Linked DNA regions of Nothobranchius furzeri. The protein of the gene in region 2 purifies or fractionates together with the protein of the main gene of each other region. This does not show direct contact. Links are inferred from orthologs where the notes say so. Each region holds a gene or a part of one and is shown on either strand. Other genes may lie near its edges.

The links. Proteins that work in one complex are often made in the same cells at the same time.
Region 1: the proteins of dbn1 (region 2) and tmod1 purify together in Homo sapiens (co-immunoprecipitation; 3 studies listed by BioGRID and IntAct, with this or other methods). This does not show direct contact. The link is inferred for Nothobranchius furzeri from reciprocal best matches to the Homo sapiens genes DBN1 and TMOD1.
Region 3: the proteins of dbn1 (region 2) and gelsolin purify together in Homo sapiens (co-immunoprecipitation; 3 studies listed by BioGRID and IntAct, counting the BioPlex papers as one, with this or other methods). This does not show direct contact. The link is inferred for Nothobranchius furzeri from reciprocal best matches to the Homo sapiens genes DBN1 and GSN.

The regions. Positions count from the first base shown.
Region 1 is NC_091744.1:3,813,190-3,820,466, reverse strand, and holds the start of tmod1 (tropomodulin-1), read right to left. Parts: upstream 5,253-7,277; 5' UTR 4,904-5,252; intron 1,941-4,903; exon of another isoform or gene 1,938-1,940; 5' UTR 1,863-1,937; intron 1,790-1,862; 5' UTR 1,776-1,789; coding exon 1,653-1,775; intron 1-1,652. Other genes in the region: tdrd7a (tudor domain-containing protein 7A), read right to left, coding at 7,227-7,277. UniProt on the Homo sapiens protein: Blocks the elongation and depolymerization of the actin filaments at the pointed end. The Tmod/TM complex contributes to the formation of the short actin protofilament, which in turn defines the geometry of the membrane skeleton.
Region 2 is NC_091750.1:71,043,635-71,050,905, forward strand, and holds part of dbn1 (drebrin), read left to right. Parts: intron 1-1,273; coding exon 1,274-1,417; intron 1,418-1,619; coding exon 1,620-1,697; intron 1,698-1,788; coding exon 1,789-1,940; intron 1,941-2,911; coding exon 2,912-2,969; intron 2,970-3,771; coding exon 3,772-3,828; intron 3,829-4,061; coding exon 4,062-4,176; intron 4,177-7,271. UniProt on the Homo sapiens protein: Actin cytoskeleton-organizing protein that plays a role in the formation of cell projections. Required for actin polymerization at immunological synapses (IS) and for the recruitment of the chemokine receptor CXCR4 to IS.
Region 3 is NC_091746.1:40,433,160-40,440,530, forward strand, and holds the start of gelsolin, read right to left. Parts: upstream 4,844-7,371; 5' UTR 4,687-4,843; intron 1-4,686. UniProt on the Homo sapiens protein: Calcium-regulated, actin-modulating protein that binds to the plus (or barbed) ends of actin monomers or filaments, preventing monomer exchange (end-blocking or capping).

The DNA.
Region 1 (7,277 bases), on a different chromosome or scaffold from region 2:
CCTACAAATTAGCAACAAAATAGCCATTTTCGCTCCGAACCGTTCTTTGAACGTTGTTTCAGCTGTCATCAAGGATATAAGAGCTACAGATATAAAAGACAATACTGGTGCTTTAGCTCACCTAGAAAGACAACGGACTCCCGTGCGGAAGATAAGGGTTCAAATCTAGATGTGAACATAATTTATTTAGAGTTTATTTTTTACATTTATGGTATTTTTTTACAGTAAGATGCCCAAATGGTTATTTGAAACTCGTCGAACGGCATTGAATTCACAGATAAAAAAGATGTGGGTTCAACTTTCATTTTGGAACAATTTTTCAAGCAACGGAAGGGAATGATCTGTCAAGCTGATGGACTGACCCATCTTAAACCTTTGTTGGCTGTGCTTAAGAGAAAGGTACAGAACCAAATTATTTAATTAATTAGCTGCGTGTTCTCCTGTCCTCTGTCTTCCGGGCCACACACACACACGGAGCTGACTGTCAGCTGTTATGTTCCTTAAGGAGTGTGCACGTACAGCATGCGCGCCTCGTGCACGAGCCTACTATTGAAGCTGCCGTTACGCTTTTTGCCTGAGGGGGCAACCGCAAGCATAAATATTCAAAACTCTGTAAAGTCCCTTTAACATTCATGGACTCACCCATCTTGGCTCGCAACGGGGAAGGCTGTTGTTTAAGCATCCAGGAAACAGCAGAGAACATCTTGGCTAGCAGAAGCTAATCATCGCATTAGCAACTCAACCACATGGCAGAAGCTCCTCCAGCTCCAAGCTTGTGTTATTTGTAGAGATAAAATATCAACGTTACAGAGCAAACAGAGTCAGTGGTAGAGTAGCGTTGCTGTTGGCCAATCTGAGGGAGATGTCCAAATATCAGGAAAAAACACTTCAAATCCTCCCGTCTTCTGCCACTCTCTGTCATGATATATTGATTAAATGAGTGTCCGACACCTTTAAATGAATGCACATCACCAACCACCTTTCAAACCAAAAATCATCTTTTATCAAGAACTAATTGTTATTAAAATAAAATAATGTGCAACTTCACCTAAGATTGCAAGATCTTGTGTAATTTATCACCACTAGTGTGTTGTGAACGACTCAGCTACTAACACATCAGGTCTTAGCTTAAAGCTATTTTTGGAAATAATTATGTGCTGTTATTGATTAATTTTTAGGACTTTATTATTATTATTATTATTATTAATAATACATCAAACTTATACAGCGCTTTTTAGGACACTCAAAGACGCTTTCATGCACTCTCACATTCACACACTGCTACTGATAGTGAGCTACTTAGTAGCCACTGCTGTCCTGGAGCGGTCTGACAGAGGCGCCGCTGCCATTTGGCGCTGTTGGCCCCTCTGACCACCACCAACACAGGCAAATTTGGTGAAGTGTCTTTCCCAAAAACACAACAGCAGGATACCCCTGGCAGGAGCTGGAATTAAGCCCATGACCCTCCAATCATGAGGCAACCCGCTCTACCACCTGAGCTACTGCTGCCCCTCATCATAATCAACCCAATAGTACACCACCACCGTCTAATCCAACAGGAAATATGAAGTTGCAGTAATAGTAACTCTGCACCTCCACAGTAGGCCAACACCGTAATCTCCTCCTTATCGACTGAAATAGCATAAACTTACATCAGGATCGAGCTCCTCTAATTCATCCTCTAACCGCTGCAGCTCCTCTTCTGAGAGCTTCTTCAGCAGCTCGTCCTCGTCTATGTCCCTGTACTTATCCATCTCCTTCTTTAATACAGACATTATGAACAGCACACCTGGAAAGAGACAGCTTGAGTTAAAACAAAAATAAATAACATTGAGCCAGGAGACGTCAAAAAGCTGTCTCACCTTAATAACCCCCCAAACCGGACACACGCGACAAAGGCAATCAGACTTTAGATTCCAGGTCTGACCTGAAAAGATCTGCTGGAAATAAACAAATAGAAAACAGAATAAGTGAATGATAATTTAAAGGTGTGGAACACTGAAAAAAAAACATTTTTTTAAACTTATTTCTGATTATAATCGGTCACTCTGAGTTTTTCATGCAGGCTGAACATGAAAATAGTCTCCTACACCTATCTCCTGCATTAGCTTCTGATAGAAAATAGACAGTGAAACAGATCTACGTCAAACTGTCGCTTAACATTCATGGACTCATCCATCTTGACTCGCGATGGGGAAGGCTGTTTTTGGTTTAACATCCAGGAAACAGCAGAGAACTTCTCGACTAGTAGAAGCTAACTATTAGCATTAGCAACTCCCCCACACAGCAGAACGCCTCCAGGCTCATGTTATTTCTGGAGATAAAACATCAACGTTGCAAGTCAGCGTTAGAGTCGCGTTGCTGTTATCCAATCCAGGGCGAGATGTTCAAATATCAGCAAATAAGACTCCGAAACCCGCCGACTGAAGCGCGGTTGAGATGTGGCTCACGTCCAGCTCCTGGAAATGGCCCACCAGTGTTTTTGCCCCCCCCTCCCCCAAGTATGAATTACAAGGCTTTCATTCCTACTAAAGACCAATACAATGCATGGTAGCACAGTTGTTAGCATTGTTGCCTTGCAGCAAGAAGGTTGCAGGTTCGAAACTCTGCTGTGGCCTTTCTGCGTGGAGTTGCATGTTCTCCCCATGCATGCGTGGGTTTCCTCCAGGTACTCCGGTTTTCCCTACAGATCACAACATGCCCTACGAGTTACAAATTGTACGCCGGTTTGGATAAAAGCGTCTGCCAAATGAATAAACAGAAACAGAAACAAATTGATTAAACGAGTGCCCCACACCTTTAAAATAAACCTCATAATTAAACAATAATGATAATAATCACATGGTTTATTCTAAGATGGCTTTCAGGACATAATGGAGGTCTGCTTTTGTCTTCAGAGTGTTTTGTCTCTGTGAGGTTAGATGACTGATGCTACATCAGCGGCATGGGGACATTTACCCCATGACCAAACAGTCTGGTGTGTTTAGCCTCCACTGATGGATGTCCACCTGACAGCAGTTAGCTTAAATGCTATTTTTTAAAATCTTTTTAATCTATATTATGTCTCAGAGCAAATCTGTGTGTGTGTGTGTTTAATATGTTCTTATTACGCTCAGTCAAGCAAGACTTATCTCATTTGGTTCTCTCATTTAGATCAAGTTTCCAAAACGTATGATTAAGAACTGGGCTGACGTCCAAAATCACAGACTGGAAGAGGCTGACCTGCTTGTGATGATGAACAGACGCTTTTGCCTGTGTTTGTGTTATAAACAAGAACTTTATCTGTGAGGAAGAAACTAGAAACTTGAAGATTCACCAAAGAGGCATCGACCTCTGCCCTCTAAAACAAACCTGCTCCGGTCATAAATCCCCTCAGAGCAGCTTGGCTGAAACAAGATCTCTGACAAATACGAATCTCAAGATGTGAAATTTATTACCTCTAAGTCAGAGTGTTTGCCAGCATGCAGGTCTGTAAATCTTTCAAGTTGCATATTTTTTAAATATGAGATCCAAAACATAATTCTCCAAGAGAAGCTAAACAGCCAATAAATCAGCTGGAACAGCAGAGCAGGAAGTGACTTCATGACATGTCCTTTTTGCTAAATGTCCTACAACCGGACAAAAAAATCTGACCTGAGTCCAACATTTTTTCTAAACCACGGAGCCCTCTAAATAAAGACATGTCAAATAAAGAGGTTGATATGAAAATAAACGTAACTCTAAAATCTCTTTTTCGCTTGCTTAAAGGAGTGGAGCACTTGTAAGTCGTAATCTGGGGGACAGAAAACAACGGTGCTCTTTTTCCAGGAGCTAGAAGTGAGTCACATCACAGCTGAGCTTCAGACGACAGGTTTTGGAGTCTTATTTTCCGACATTTCTCGCCTTAAATTGGAGAACAGCAACGCGACTCTACCACTGACTTGAAATGATGTTTTATCTTATGGAGGAGTTCTGCTGTGTGTTGGAGTTGCTAATGCTAACAGTTAGCTTCTACTAGTCGAGAAGTTCTCTGCCGTTTCCTGGACCGTAAAACAACAGCCTTCTTTGTCAGGAGCATGGGTGAGTTCATCAACGTTAAGTGACAATGTGACGTAGGTCTGTCAGGGTTTTTAGATCCTAGTTTCACCATTTATTTTCTATCAGAAGCTAGTGCCGGAGATAGGTGTAGGTTATTTTCATGTTCAGCCTGCATGAAAACCTGAGTGACCAATTATAATCAGAAAGAGTCATTATGAATGTGTTCTACACCTTTAATAAACTAGAATTTAAAATCTAAAGAGCAGAAAGACAACTGTCACATTTCCTAATGCATGGACCACAGGAGGACAGTGACGGGTTTCTGCTGTAAGTGCGAAGACTGCGTCCAATTGCTTTGCCCTAAAATTACACTTGAACTTAGTGATTTGCACAAACCTCCTTCACTAGTTCTTCCAGATCATTAAAAAGACAAATTTCTTATAGTTATTGAGCTAATTTGTGCTTCAGCAGCGATTTAGATGTAAAGGATTTTGAGAAATAAGGGATTTTCTTACCTGAAGTCCTCTAAAGGGTCAAATCTGTCTTGTTTTATTAAAGGTCACGCCAATTGGTCTGACAGGCCAAAATTATACAAAGAGGTGTCCACATGTCTTTTAGATGAAACATCAAGCAGCTATGATTCAGGAGAGATGCTGAATAAACTAGATCTGAAGCCACGCAGATTTGCACGATGGTGGGAAAAATAAACTCCTCAATAGTTTTTCAATGAGCAGTGAGATATCATATGGAATACAGATTCAGTTTGAGCTGTGTGGCTTACGTGAAACTTTGTCCCCCATGCAAAAACATCAAAGTCAGCATGCACATGTTTGACTGCTTTATTGCACACAGACTATAGAGGTTTATTCTACATTATTTTACGTACCTCTTCCGGCGCTATTAATAGACAGTCGGCCCGGCTGGGTGACAGCAGCGAATACTTTGACCAGATATGGCTTCCCTCGGAGCCGCGGTGCGTGGTCAACTCCGCCGCCGGCGCACAATCCCGGGAATCAGATAAAACTCTGCAACTCCAAACCGCCCATAACCCGCGGAAAGATCCGGCAGATTTCAGCGAGCACACACAGTTTCCTCCCCGTCCCTGGAAGCGTCTTGGTGGTTTTGTGAAAGCTGAATCTCATCTCCCGCAAAGGGCAAAGTAAACTTATTGGGAGAGAGATTCTCCTCCTCTTCCTCCCTGCACGCGCGGCTGCCCGGTCACTCCCGTGATGTCATGAAGCGACGCGGCGTGCATTATCGGACACGGTGATGTGGGCCTACTTAAAGAGCAAGTCACCCCCCAAATCAACTTTTTTTTTCTGATAAACTATATAAATGTGTGTCTAATCGTGCTGCAGACACGTGTAGTCAATAGTTTTACACGTTAGTGCATTTTAGTTAAAATTTAAATTTTCTGCCTGAAACGGTCAGTGTTGTGCCGTTGTCAGGTAAAAACTCTTCACTGCATTTGAATTTAAATCTGCCACCGCTATTGGCTAAGAGGTATGCTATGATGTAAACTGGTACATTATGATGTCACAATGTCGTGAGTGTGTGTATTGGTTAGTGGCTCCACCCTCTCGGTCTGCTAGGCAACAGCATTTGTTGCATTTTTCAAACATGAAGTGGGAGTGGAGTTCACTTCTTGTAAGGGGTGACTTGCTCTTTAAATAATAATATTATAATTGACACGTGGATCCGATGTAAATGTCTGTTTAGGGGCGCAGAATGTAACAAACAAAACACAAAAATTACCGGTTTGACCACATTTAGCTTTGGTTAACAGTAAAAAAGTAACGATTAAATCCACCAGGTAGGACCAAACATTTAAATATCACTTTTAAACTGAACTTCAGCCGCCCCTAAAACAGAAGTAGCCTATCAAATCTAAAAGCGGGGTAGAGCTCTCCAACTTGTCTGAGTTCCTTTGATAAGAATGTGTGAATCTGTTAAACACACATCATTTAAATCAGTAAAATAGTTTAATTTCCTACAAAAATATTAAATTTGGTTGGAAAACAGGCACTTGATAAAATATAGTTTCTGCACTGAGTTTTTGCACAATTTAACATCTAAAATTCGGGGAAATATGACTCACTTGCACAGTTTCAAGAGAAAAGAAGAGATCCAGCAATCTCTAAACTATTGGTCCACACAATCTCTGCCGTTGGGATGCAGCAGAAAAGTATCCTGGAACTGGTAGAAGATGTGGAAGATAAGGAGATAAAGACATCAGGATGAAAAAAATACAGCATCTGGACTGATCAAACTCAATGGGCTCACTAGAAGAACCCAAACTTCTAGTAGTAGCATGGGCGAGCTGAAAAGGTCCCAGTCACTCACTTGACCTGGTTCATCAGGTAATAAATATTCACACTGGCAAAATCAAACTCTTCAATGCATAAATCAATAGAGCACAATAACCAATACAACTCTGGAATTAAAGGAACACTTCTACGAGGAGCTACAAACATTACAGTATCCGGATCACTACCTACAAGATATGGCACATGAGCTACATTCAAACACTAACTTCTCTAACTCTGTCAACACCTGCTGCTACACCAAAGAGCAGTTTGATCAGCTCAACAGCAGATTTTGTATTTACATTAACAGCAGACGTTTGTAATGACTTGAGACATTTCACTAGACTATTCACAGCAGCATCAGAAACCTTTAGTCAAATGGTCACACATGTGTTCATAACAATTAGAAGATTAAGTGTGGTGGAGGGGTTCCTATGTTTGTATGCAAAAGTGTGATAGAAAACATATGCAGAGCTGTAAATAACATTATCGAATGCATAACCTAAGAAAGGTGTAATGGTTGATTACAAATGCACGGAAACACATGAATCAATAAATGATATTGTAACGGATTTAGTTAAGACTGGCAAGTAACTATAAATGAAGCATACAAGGATTTTTTAAGGATATTTTCAATATGTTATAAAACTTGCTCTATTAAAATAAAAATAAACCTCAACCCAAAATACTATTAACGTAACTGTTTTAATAACGCAAACAACAAACGGTGACATGAAACACAAACTTCTACTCATATCTTAACAGTGAATTAGAGGTATTAGTGTGAAACATATTAAAAAAAGCTTCAACCAAAAGACACACATCAAGCAATCTGTCAAAGTTGTCCAACATAACTAAATGTATAACAGACATAAGACACAGCTAAAGAAAAATGAATGACCCTTAATCCCCGATGTCAGCCATGATACGATGGATCCAAATGTCCGTGCCGTC
Region 2 (7,271 bases):
GACAGAGCATGAAGTCACACGAGTGACTTCGTCAGTAAACACAACAGCACGGAAACAGAGCGAAGCTCCCGAGATTTTCAGAATAAAGAACGTACTGCCTTCCGGTTGCTTTACTTTTAAAAAAGGTTACTGACTGTGCGGCCCCGTGAGAAGTTATCACCTAGCTAGCGGTCTCCTTTGTTTTTCAGGTCCGTATTGGCAATTATAAAACGGACAGAACATAAAACACAAACATTTTGGAGCCATGTTGTAGTTTTTTTCCTGCTTGTTGTTGTGTTTACTGACGAAGTCACTCGTGTGACTTCGTGCTCGGTCGGTGACAGCTGCTCCCCTGCTGCTTCGCGTCTCGTGGGAAGGGCCAAGCAGCAGCTTACGCGAGCAAGACGTGCTGCTGCAGTAACGTGCTGCTGACGGCTCCGGTGGAAAGACGGGGTGAGCCTCACACATCCTGGCACTCAGCCCTTCCACTTTACAGGAAGTGAAAGCAGCTTGAGGTGTTTTCTAAGGACTGGAAGCTTCTAGGTGTATAAATAATGCAACCTTCAGCTCCAGTGTTAAATAAAAAAATAAAACTTCCATTAAAATGGATTGGAAGTCTGAAGCCCCGCCCAGTGGTCTGATATAGGAGTCCCCCGGGAATTCACTTCACACACTCGTGTGTTTCTTCACTACTTTGTTTTATTTAGCATTATAGAAGGTGAGGTCATCTTAACCTCTTCTCCGTTATCATCATCAAACCACGTTCTCCGGACGGAGCATCAGGATTAGTGCCTTCATCAGAAACCTATACATGTCTACTGCCCCCTGGTGGAGGACCTACAGGGGGCGAGGGACAATTTTATGTCTTCATTTTTATTACATTGTCATGGAATTACATAAAAAATATATATTTATATAGTTTTTATAATTAAATGAGACAGTAAATTGTTCCGTTTTAAATACTAGATTGTTTAGTTACCACATGTTTCGTTGTTTTTTTTTTCAAAATGTTTATAATCAAAACATGAGGCGGATGTTAAAGTTGTAAAACAAATGTTGCAATGGTTGTTTTAAACTAAATCTTTAGCTGATGTGAATTTCAGCCTACCAAAATGGAGTTGACGAGATCCGCTCATTAAATTCGACTTTCCGCAGCTTCCAACGTTTGAGCTAATTTGATGCATCAGATGATGTCGTCAAAGTTTGCTCTCTGGTGTTTAAACTTTGGGATTAAAAAAAAACCATTTAATAAAATTATTTTTCTTTCAACCACCAAATGAATCTGTTACTGCAGGGCGTGGAGGTCATCATCAACGCCAGCAGTCTGGAGGACATCGACCCAATGGCCATCGGGCAGCGGCTGGTCAATGGGACGGTGGCGGTGGCGAGCCCGGTTCTGAGTCGCCTGAAAACCAGAGACGAAGAAAACGCGGATGTGGTACAACACACACAAAAAGGCCGACTTGTTCAAATAAACTGGGTTTAATTCAATCTAAACTGCATTTTTTATACAATTGTGTGGATTTTTGAGCCTTCGCAGATCACCTGAGCCCATCGTGTAACTCACCTGTAAAGCAGATTTATTTTCTTTGTTTATAAGTAAAGAAAGCTGACCTTTCTCCGTATGACTTTTGTTTCAGGGCACTGTATACCAGAAGACTAATGCAGAGGTGGAGATGAAGAAAATCAATAGAGAGGAGTTTTGGGAGCAGGCCAAGGTACGTGTGGATCAAAACAGAGAAAAGAAGAAGAAGAAAGGAAAAAGTGCCACATTATCTTAGAATCAGCTTCTTCCTGTTTGCTCTGCAGCGTGAAGAGGAGCTGAGGAAGGAGGAGGAGAAGAAGAAGGCTGCAGAAGAGCAGCAGCGCTATGAGGAGGAGCGAATGGAGCTGGAGAAGAAGGAGCAGGAGAACCGAGAGAGGAGGTACCGCGAGAGGGAGCGGCAGATCGAGGAGCACAGGTGGGCATCCAGCCAATGAACTGTTTATGTGAAGAGGATTTGTGAGGGACCTTCTGCACATTTTAGAAACAGAATATGCTTTTGTGAAATGCGACCAAACAGAAATACAAGTGTATTGTAAAGCAAACATCTGGACACAAACACTGGTTCCTATAAGCTAAACACAGCTGGAAGAACTGCCCAAACTGGACTTTCTCATCACTGAACACTTTAACAAAAGAACTTGAGGATGAACCCATGAAAGGTTGTTCCTGATTATTTGAGATAAAATGATCAAAGACACCTTGGTTCTGACTCCAAATGTAAAGCACAGAGGTGGTTCTGTCATGGTTTGGGTCAGATCTAGCAGGTTTTCTTGCCTTTTAGGTGGCGTGTGGGTTTGGGATCCTTTAGGTCCGTCCCATTTTACTCAATGTTTCTTTGCTTTTGTTATCAAGTCGGGTACAGGTTTACAAAGTCATCGTACCAACATCGTTTGTTTTTGTGTTTTTGAGAAAAGAAAAGTCAGCATTTTGAAGGGCTTTCCCATTTTCTATGAGTATACTGAACATTAAAGTGAGAGGAAGAGTTAATAACCACTGGAAATGGGACTCAGCCTCAGATGTCCTCTCACTATCACAGCGTTTAAACATCAAAAATCTCTGGTGGATCCACAAGTAAAGGTTTTAACCTCCACATTGTTCTCATAGAGCTGGATCAGGTCCTCCTGTCCAGAACTGCTTATTTCTACTCCAACATATACTTCTGGGCTTTGCTGCCAAACAGCAACCACCTGTTCTGGAAAATGTTGAATATCTGAAACGTTTCTCCACCCCTTTAACGAGATTTCCTCCCAATCCAGCTGTGCTTTACCTATATGCTGCCCTCTAGTGTGGATATCAGTTCTGCAGTTGTCTTGTTTCATTTATTTTTCCAGCTGTGGCCTTTCTCCATAATAACATAAACATTTAATACATAATTGTTGTAAACAGGAAGAAGATGCAGGAAGAGGAGGAAGCCAGAGAGAGGTTGCGGAACCAGATCATCATAGTGAGTTTTTATTCCAACATTTGTGTCCTAATCAATTATTTCCATACTTCATGGTCGTAAGCAAGCACTTTAGAAATATTTCATTCTTGTTGATAGAATTTAGTCACAATATGGAGTCCAATCAGAGCCAAAATGTTTCCTTTTTCCAAAAACAAAATAGTAAAAAAAAGGATTTAGATTAAGGTTCAGTTTCACTTTTATTTACTTGTTTTTTTTTTATTAGGAATTTGAAGTAATCAACATGAGTAAATGGTTTTTAATTTCACAACAAGTTAGATGTGTTACTGGTTAATCAAAGCAGTTTTTTTCTGAACACTATCTAAAATTAAAGTGTAAAAAAAAACAAGGTTTCAAGTTTAAATTAATTAAAATTAAAAACATAAAACCAGAAAATGATCTACTAAATTGACTAAATGTATATAATAATACTGATGAAACCTTCATATTCAAATGTAGTACTAGCAGATTCTAAATGGTACTTATAACAGTCTTAGTATTTCATTCATGTATTTTTATTTATTTGTTTTTTTTTTACAATCAAACGCTACTTTAAGAAAATTATTAAACCAATAATTATTCTGACCCTAATTTAGCTCCATACTTTAGTGTTACCAAATATTTTTCCTCATTATCTGTGTCTGGACTTTTAAAACAAAACTCTAAACTAAGAATCCCTTTGGTTTATTTTATTTTTTATTTTTTTACTCATAAGAATGTTAGCCTCTCCTGCCCCCTGCTGGCTGCAGAGTAAATAAAACTCAGTTGGGCCTTTTTTCGTTCTCACTGCAGTTTTTCTCTTTAGGCATCTGAACCGAGCATCGAGGAGCTTCACCTGGACAAGAAGGAGTCAGAGGTGGAGGTCAGTTTGATGAAGAATTTTTCAAAAATGATCTCGTTCCTGAAGAAGCCCAATAGCTGTGACGTGGTTTAAATGTGTGGATTAATGAAAACAAAAAGGAAATGTTTATGATAAGTAATCATGAGAATAACTGTCCTGTCCAATAGTCCATGTTGCAGGTTCATTGTTAAGTGTAGTTTATTGGATTAGATTAGTTGGCTGCATCCTGAACCTGATTTATTCTGATTTTTTAGGAAGCAAAGGCCATCATTGCTCAGCGGTCGGGAAATCCTCGAGAGTTTTTTAAACAGAAGGAGAGAGCTATGACCATCAGCATCGACGCCTCGCCCGTCTCCATCCACAGGACCGGTAAACAAACCAAACCAGAACGAGAGTTTCTGTTCCCACAGTCCAGGAACAGGGACTGACGTTTGTTCCTCCTGACAGTTTCAGTCATTGGATAAAGCAGGCTCAATCAGAGATTCCTCTCGTTTTATCTGTTGGTTTAATGTTTTGATTGAACGAAACATCTCAGGGGATAAAGGATCCAGACACACGCATCACTGCCTCTACACCTCCTTCAGCTGCTGCTTCTGCAGAACTTCATTATTTCTGAGATTCCTATAAATATTTAATCAGCTGAAAGGATTTTCTCACCCGTAACCACTGCGTGAGGAAGGCAGCGCTGTGACACCAGCTGTTCTCACAGCTTTTGATGCTCATTTTAATTCAGATTTTAATATTCCTGCATGTTGTTTGTCTGCAGCGCTTTGGTGTTTGTCACTCAGTCCTCCAGAACACAAGAACATTTAGACCAAAATAAACAAACAAATGCTTATAGAACAGACCAAACCGTCTTTGACCTCCTGCAGCCGCCTGGCATCGTTTGGCCAGTCAGAGGTTCAGACTCATACATCCAGAAGATGGTCTGAGGTGTGGAGAGCTGTGCTGCTGGGCTGAAAGCCTTCTGCTTCCTCAGATTGTTGTCTGTGGTGACGTTATTCACATTTTTCCATTTTTTAATTTTAACTTCAGAGACAACTGGAGCATTTAAAAATTCTAATCCAGCGTTATCAGGGTATCCGCAGGTCCTTGAAAAGTCTTAAATTTGCTTTTCCAAATTTAAGGCCTTAAAAATCCTTAAAAATTACAAATGATGCTTAAATACAGTTTTCAAAGGTCTTAAATTACCAAAGACCCAATAAACAAGATTTTTTTATTTCTATAAAATTTTCCTGAAATTCTAGTTAGTGTTCAGCATTTTTGTGTACGATGTAGGCGTAAGTGGAGCCGTACACATTCAGTTGGTTGTGAAAGGGGGCTGTTTTTAGATGAGCACATAGCTGGTTAAGCTAGTGGGAGCTAGGGCTGCTCGATTATGGCAAAAACAATAATCACGATTATTATGACTGTAAATGAGATCTCGATTATTTAGGACGATTTTTCAATTTATGTTGATTTTATTTGTTTTTATTCAGTCATAAAATTGCTCAGGGCACAATCAGGACAAAAAGAAATAAGAAACAAAATGATCACTAAAATAACTCCTGATTCCCAGTATAAAAAGACCAATATACTTATAGCTCATAGTCTACGACCCAAGGGCTATAGACCTTGGTTGAACTCATTTAAGTCTAACCAGTACAGACCCAAATACCAATATCTTGCAAATACTGACGGCAAGAATTATACAGTGGCATTTATAACAAATAAATGCAAATAAATTGATGTTCACATCAACATCAATTTTGCGTAACATTTATTTAGTCGTGTCAAGGTGCTGTAGGAGAGTGCACTAGCACCGTGTCCTCAGAGGGATTAGTTATCAGCGTGAGGAACTTATTTCTACCTTATTTACAAACAATTTACAAGTCCATCAGTTAATGTAATAATTGTCCCAACCACAGCTGTACCCCCCACCCCCCACCTCGGTCTCACAGCAATCAGTGGCAAGCTGCACGTGTGTTTAGCGCGCCGCACGCGCACATTTAGCCCTTTTTAGTGGCTCAGGAGTCCACAGGTGCGGTGTGTGTCACTCACTCTGGTTAATCCAACAGGGCTCTGAGAGCCGTTTCTTTAGCGACTGACACATCACTACATCATTCCCTTTCCTAATGTCCTGATGAACTGTCCGGAGCGCAGGCGGAGTGTTAAGCTAACCTGCAGGAAATGTCGACGACAGTTATCCAGAAAGTAGCTAAGGGTTACCAGAGATGTTTCTGAGGTGTTCACTAGGTATTTTTAAGATTTAAAAAGTCAAGAAGGGGGTCTGAGAAGCTGTTAGAAATAGCGTCAAAGTCGCCAAGTTGGCAACACTGTGGGAGGAGCGCTTCATTTGCAACTCAGGGCAGCGCAAGTGGGAGGAGCAAATTATCGGCTTGTTTTGTTTTTATAATGGTTCAAAACTCAGATCGTAATCGTGATTAAAATTCGATTAATTGAGCAGCCCTAGTGGGAGCTTGCGCCATGGGGAAGTGCAAGTTTAATGGTAACTGATCCCACGTTCGCGACGTGGTTAGCACCGGTTCCAGGCAATAGCTGGAAATTATAGCTTAAATTTAATTTTAAATAATGGTTTAAATTTGGTCAAAGTGGCCTTAAAAAAGGTCTTAAAAAGTCTTAAATTTGGCTCCCTTAAACCTGCAGATACCCTGTTTATTTATAAAGAATTCAAAGATGTTCATAAATGAATTAAACCAAACAAATAAAAATAAAAGTCTAACCTTTGAGAGCTTCATGATTATAAAAGACTCAAATTCAAATATTTCTAAACTCAGCACAAAAGTAATAAAATGTAATGTTCAGTTTGGTGTTAGCCTGCCAATGCTTCATGCAGATCCTATTCTGAGTATTTTCCCGTAAATGGAGCCACATTTGAAAGAAACACATTTGTTGATGACGTTTATTCCACCGGATGATTCAAATCTGAAAAAATTAAAACAATGATGGTCACAATCTTTGCATCTGCTCCCTTTGCTGACCACCATCTTACCTTTTATGACCAGAAATAAATCAGCACAATCTGACTTCTAGACAGAATCTCGTCTTGTTTCTTCTAGTCTGAAAAACTAAACCAAACTAAAGTCAACAAAGAGCCAATGGACCCAGTATCCTTTCTTTTTGTTAATATCCCATATTTAAGTTGATGACTTAGATTGCAGGTAAAATGTTTCACCAGCAGGTGGTCCACTTATATTTAAACTAGGGGTGGGACTTGTTAAAAAAATTAATCTAGTTAATTAGAGGCTTTGTAATTAATTAAGCTTGATTAATCGCTTTGTAATTGTTCAAGAAACGGTGCCTAAAAATGTTTTTTTTTAATTAAAAATAATGAGGCAGGGACTTAAACAATATACATAGGTGTTATTATTGTAAACTCAAGGTCTTATGGATAAGTGGAAGAAAATGGGTGGATGGACTCAAGCTCTTAATTTCTGAAAAAAAAAGGGGTTTTAATTATTCAA
Region 3 (7,371 bases), on a different chromosome or scaffold from region 2:
CTCATGTAAAAATGTGTCACAGCGTAATACATGTGACAGCCCCATCTAGTGGACAACTTTTGTTTCTGCGCATACCTGTAGTTCTCGTCCATTTATCGTCATCATGGTGAACTCCTCAATATATTGTGATATTGATTTTAGGCCATATCAACCAGCCCTAATTCTAAGCATTGTCCTTAACCCATCATTATATGCAACAGTGAGTTTCCTTATGCTGCTTTACTTGTAGTAACTCCTTATCACAAACTTAAAGGTGCAAGTTGTAAGAATGACATCCTGTAGTCAAACTTGGTTACCGCTGTCTAGTTTTCTGAGCAAAAAGGTACTATCTCACTGCTGTGGCTGTTGCCAGCTATGGAACAGCACCAGAAGATTCTAGATAAGCAAAGGCAAGCCATAGAGCTCCGGGAGTTGACGTCACTTCTCTCGGCATGCAACAGTTCAAATCGAAACGGTGCCATATTGGCAGGCAGAAGCCCGTAGCTGGACTATTTGTTAATGTCAGAAAACTCAATCAAATGGGAAATAAGGTAGATTCCTGTTGTGCCCCAGGATGCAGAACAGATGCGGACGACATAAGGAATGAGCCATCTACAGGATTCCCCAAGATCCGGAACGCCGCAAACGTTGGATCATTGTAATAAAACACACTAGTGACCGGGCTGAAATGAAGCTGTGGGACCCCGAGAGTAAAGGTTTTTGCTTATGCAGCGACGGCTTCATATCAGGTACTTAAACCAATGTTTCCTCAACTGTGTATGGTATTTATTTTAAACGATTTTATTACGTTTCTTAGTGGGCTTCCTAAACTTATTTTGGCGTGGCTTTTTCTGTCTTATTACTCATAGTAACAAGTAAACATCACGTAAAACGCTGTCTCTGAGTTCTGCATGCTGCCGTTTACGTGTTTTATGATCACAGCAATTAACCGGCTAAGCTGTATTTAATTTTCAAGCAATGGTTGATCAATTGTCAGATCACACATAAAAGCACTTTGGATTGCTATTAAAAGTATCCCAGGGGCACCGTAAGGGTCAGAGATGTTTAGTCTATCTAATTTCTGACTATATAAAACGATTTCTTCGGTTTTAAAGTGTGAAGTAAACTCCGACGAAGTAAAATCCAAGCCGATCCCGTTCATGTTCATGTTTATGATCCGTGTTTGTTTACCTTTTTTGCCTGCCAATATGGCGTCTACTAACTGAGAGTCACGTGGGGTCCGGAGCTCTTTACACAGTAAGTTGATAAGTAGATAGCATTGTTTTAGCTGGAGTTAGCTCTCTTGGACGTTTTAACTGACTCTTTATTCACTTCACACATACATTTCAGTGTAATATCGAGTTGGTAATTAAAAAAGTAGCTTCAGATATTTTTATAGCCAACATTTTGCTTTAAATTACCATTAGCGTTGTTAGCTTAACGTTAGCTTCTAGCCTTCTTTACCCAACATTAGAATAAAACTAAAAGATGCAGTGGCTTCTTAGAGGTACAAGAAATAACTTCTGGGTCGCTCCTGTTTCCTGGCTTTAGTTCGTTGAAGAATTCTGGAGCTTTTTGCATGCCAGTGTTGAATCACAAATGCCAGAAAAGCAGCATTAGCTCGTCGCATACTTGACAACAACCTCACAGGCAAATTGATTGTAAACAGTAACTATGTCCTTCTTTTGTTTTTGTTTTTTTAAGGAGAAAACTGACATCCCATAGCTGGCGTAGAAGGAAATCTGTTTCAATATAACCTTTCTAACATGAATGAGACATTAGGCCTAATTTAAACTTCTTCTTCAGCTTTTCCGTCCACAAAAAAAAAATGCTAGCTGCATATCTTTGCGCTCCTTCAGTCACAGGTGAATAAACATTCATAGTTTCAGACTATTTCCACCAGGCATTCTTCAATCTGTCTGTGACTGCCACTAAATATCTCTTGACTTTTGAAGCGACAAATATGGTGCTGGTGACACATTTACAGGAATTGGTGTGAGTTAGAAATTGGGGCATCTCTCCGTTTATCTCTGCGAGCACGTTGGAGCTCTTGCGTCAATGCATAATGGCGTTGGCATATCTCTGTCCCGACGCAAATGAAGAATAAATTAGGCTTCAGACTGTTTTGTGATTATTTGACTGTAGAATTCTGACATATTGCTCCTTAAAAAAAAAAAAAAAAAAAAATATATATATATATATATATATTTTTTTTTTTTAAATTTATTTCTTTTTTGCTGCATTGAAACTTTACCAGGCAAGTTGTTATTCTCAGATTCAGAATCTAACCACCTGGAAAGTTGAACCAAACTATCTTTAGTGAAAGGCAAACCTAACATTATACAAATGTCGACAAACCTTTCCATAAAATAAAATATTCCAAAAGCTCCTAAGTCGGGCAGCTGGATCCTCTTAAAAGCTAAAGATCAAAAGACCCTGAACCATAATTATGAGATACTAAAACAGCTCTGTGTAACCAAGCAGCAGCAAATAAATCAATAACATTTACTTCATTTTTGTTAATTTAGAACAGTTTATAAGCTTCATCTCAGAGCCTGGTGAACGTCAAACATGTTAAGGTTAGTTTGAAATTACAGCCCTGAAGGTAAAACATGCATTCTGAAACATCAGAATAGCATCAAAACCTCTCACAAGCGAAGATGCAAATAAAATACCCTGTACATAGCTCCGGATTGGGTAACTTGAGTGAAGAAGAGCCTGTTTGTTTGGATCAGAAACCATGTTGTTGCAGGCATAAATAGATCAGATCACATGATTATCTGTCAGAGGTAGTATGTCTGCAGCCCTGCGGCTCTCTTCTCCTGACTGTGCATCTACAGGCCCACTCGCCACCTCTTTCCTCAGCTGACAAACACAACATGCTTCTCGAACTTCACATTTTTGGTCCCATCCCCCATGTTTCACCAGCCTCTGTTGTCTGCCTCCCTCCCGGCGAGGCCTCTGCAAAATCAATTCACTGTGCAGCAAATGCAGATTTATAAGTCAGGAAAATAAATGTTAGGCATTCTTCTGCATCAATTCAGAAAAAAAAATCTAACATGAATGTAAAATCTGGATATGAGGGCTTAAACAGCGTGTTTGCTCTGTTTCCTTCCCCCACCACCTCCTTTAGAAGCAGAGGGCTTTCTGATGACTCATTTTCTCCATGCATGCCACGCTGAGTCTCTTGTCTCAGCTTGACTGGGACATATCAGACAATTCTCTGCGTGGAATAAACAAACCGCTCACTTGAAATCTGTTTACCCAATTAAAATGAGAATTTAAGACAATACAAACAACCTCTCTGAAATCACAGAGGGGCCTTTTGGGAATCATGTAGCTGTAAACAGCTCTGAGAATGAGAAGGCAGTTTCTAACTTCTTCTTTTGACTGAAATAATAAAACAAAGCATAGAAACACAGATCTCAGCTTAGCAAAAGTACCTGCAGTCAGTGGAGAGCTGTCTTTACGTCCAGGCAGCTGACCGTTAACCATGTATATATATATATATATATATATATATATATATATATATATATATATATATATATATATATGTAAAGGGGTGTGGTGTTTTTTTTTTACTAGGCTAGAATCATGCTGCTGGATTTCTGGTGAAGATGTAATAAGTTACTGCAAATCTGTAATATTTGGTTATGTATGTCCCTGATTTTCAGAAGAAACCGACACAGCTTGTGCTTTATTAGCAAATAACTATAGCCTGTATGCCCATCATTTAAATTTGAAAGAAATTTGGTGCATTTTTAAAATAAGCTGCAATGCCAAACATCAGCTGCACAAAATCAAAACAAAACAAAAAATACTTAGATCATGTGAGGTTTGTGAAAGTTGGATTAACTGTCAGCTTGTTTCACTGGGTTGAAGCCATTTTTGTGTTTGCTGCAGTGGCCATCTTGAATTAGGAAGAGTCTAAACGTTATTTTGTAGTAGGTATTTGGTAAAGGTCACCTTTGAGAGTGTAGTTTAAGTCTGTCCTGTGGTGCATGAGGTATTCTGCAAACATGCAAAAAAGATCACCTGCCATCAAAAGTCATTGGTTTTCAACAGCTACTGGAAACTAGCTGAAGTGGGCCATAATTATGAAAAAAGTTCTGCAGATAAACGCTCACACATGGGTGCATGGGTCTGCAGAGAAGTAAAACCTGCAAGGGAGGAGGTCAGATTTTTAGGGATTGTATTTTTCTGACAGTACTGACATGGCTACACTTAAAGCAGAAATGTCTGATGCCATTTGTGGAAACAGAAACAACAGCTCATCGTTTGACTCAGAGGATGTCAACTTCCTCAAAACAGCTGGCTGTAACCATGACAACCATAGGATGTGAGGATGTGTAGAGTGATTTATCAGTGTGCACTCTTTAGGTGTTTTTAACATTTATTTTAGACTTAGTTTATTTATTTATTTATTTGGTTAGTTGGTTGCCGCGTCTCACTGATTATCCATATTAGGAAACTTCCGGTAAAGGAAATTTTTTTTTAGTTGTCTTCCAAAAAAATAATATAATAACATTGGGAAAAACAGTGCGGATCATTTCTTTTCTGGGTTTGGGTTTTATTCCGCCAGGACGTTTTTTTTTTTCTTTTTTTTCCAGGTTGACTCGTCAGACTAGACGCGGTGTTAAATCCAGATTTGGTTAATCTCCAGTTCAATTTAAAGAGTAAACCTTCTGCAGATGCAGGTTTTACCTGAATGTGGAGGCTGTGGACGGACCGGTGTGGACCTGGACGAGCAGCGGGGAGACGACCGGGCTGCAGCAGGAGAAGAGAGGTCTCGAGTCGCCGGCAGAGCAGAGCGAAGAGCCGCAGTCTGGCTCTGTAACGGGACGGGACACTCCCTAAACACACACCAACCCTCCCTCCGTGGTGCTTTTGTGTGTGTGTGTGTGTGTGTGTGTGTGTGTGTGCTTGAATTCATGGGTTTAAGTGGATAAATTTTAACTTTAACCTGGCAGATTTAGCAATTTGGGGACCCAATGCGAACACAGACATGGGCCCCTTACACTAAATTTTCGACAATCTTATCTTTAACTGGATTTGCGAAACTCCACCCTCTTCTGACATGAGTTATTTTCACTTTTTATTAGTCCTCCTCTTTTTCCCTGTCTTTCTCTCCCTTTGAGCGCCTTCAATATTTGCTCTGCTTTCTTCTTCCTGTCAGTGCTCCTGTGCTTTTGCCTTTCTTTTTATTTCTATTTTCCATTTTGGTCTATGTTTTTCTCCCTTTAAATATTTTCCATTGTCTTTCCTTTTCTGCTTCCTTTTTATGTTTACATTGAAAAATGATGTCACTTTTGGAAGTGAATATAAAAGCTTTTTTAAAGCATGCTGTTTCTTTCTCTTACTGGAGCCACTATAGGATAACTCCTTTTCATGTTTAATGTTTTGACTATCGCTTTGAGTTTGTTACGAACGCTCCCGTCTCTCTTCTTCTTTTTCTGCTTTCTCTTCATCTTCTTATTTGTGGTCTTACAGCACTTGGCAAACAACAATTTGGTGCATTACTGCCACCAACTGGATTGGAGTGGAATGACTACCAATCACTTCCAGTTTGTGAATCGGCATCCTAAAGCAATAGTTCATTGTGGCATTAACAGAGGGGTGCCAGCAGTCAGGGCTAGGGGCCCCCCCCAACATAAGGGGGCCCCATGCGGCCGCCGACATATGCCTAATGGTAAAACCGCCACTGGTGTGTGGACATTTTTACATTGTGGGGACATTTTGCTGGTTAACACAATGTGGAGCACCCTAAAATTTGGTCTTAGAGGTATGCAGTGGCGGCTGGCCAGTAGAGGGCGATAGGGCGCCGCCCTCCCAGTTTCCCCTGTGTTTTTAATTTTTATTTTAAAAAATAAATAAATAAAATTAACAATAATCACATATTCTAAGTTAATTGTGTGTTTTGTAACAAAAATAAATCATATATGTATATCTATATTGGTCTCTGCCGGTCTCTGCCGATCTCTGCCGATCTCTGCCGGTCTCTGCCGAGTGGTGGAGGCTGTGTGCTGTTTTTCAATCGCCCAAACAGGATGAGACCAGTTGTCCAATTGCTGACAAGAAAATCAAAGGGTAGGAATGGGAATGTATCCAATCAGCGTCGACGTTGTTTCAGAACGTTTCAGAAGCATGATGGGCGATAGAGCTACCGCCAAGGCTTTCGTTGATGTTCGGTAGAACTTGGAGAGTCTCGACTCCAGCACGTTTTGACGGTCGTGACGCAGACGTAGACATGGACGCCAGTGCGCCTACAACATGGATACCGGATCTCAGCAGCCACTGAATTCAGTTCGGTCTCCTCCAGTATCCGTTCGAGAGGAGAACTATGGTGGAAAAACTTAATGTCAAAGAGCTTGGACCAGATCAGCCCGACGTAAAGATAAGCCAGCAGGAGAAGGAGAAGGGTAAACTGTATACACGACGCTTCTCCCAAAATTGGTACACCAGGAAGCAGTGGCTAGCTGGATGCAATCACGCTAATGCGTTATTTTGCTTTCTGTGTTTGTTATTCAAAACGGCTGGGATCCACAGAAGGTGGATGTGGAACTTGTGTCTCATTGGGGACTCCATTCATTCTCTGACTGAGGAATGCAGCGCATCAGTGCAGCAGCCAACAAAGAAATGGAGGACGTTTGGACAGGGAGAACAGCAGCTGGGTGCAGAGGTAAGCTGTACATTACATTTCTGTAAACAAGACAATCAGAATCAGAAATCCTTGGTTGTCCCACAAACCGGGACATTTGTTTAATAACATGTACATTGTTTAATGTGCAATAACTGTAAAAACTAATTTCAACACACATACCTATTATACAAATTTAATCATGTAAATGTGTATTTCAAGTAAATTTGTACATACATCAATCTGATTCCATTTTACTTGTTACACTTCTGCTGCAGCAAACAAATTTCCCAGCTTGGGAAGTGGGAAATATGACATTTGTAAGAGGATACTGATGACATTATTTCCTATGAAAGTGTTTCCACTTTCCATAAGTCCTAACAGTGTAAATTTCTGGCATTTTGTCTAAGTAGTGTTTACTACCATTACTGTAACACTGACCTGCTCATAATTTTTCGTGTTCACTCAAATGTTGAAATTAAACAAAATGTTTTTGTTACTTGCCTCTTGCATTGCCTATTTACCATTTATGGTCATGTTATTTTATGTGCAATTTAATGCAGTATTTTTCAACCTTGGTCCGCAAGGCAGTTTGCCAATAGTCAGACACACCTGGATTAATCAGTTTGTCCAATGATGTAAGACAGGAAATAAAAGAGCTGTGCTTAATTCAGGAAATAGTGAAGTTGTGCACAAAGCTCAGAAAGCACAAGTTTGTTTAAAAAAAAAAATAGCACAGCCCCACCAAAAAT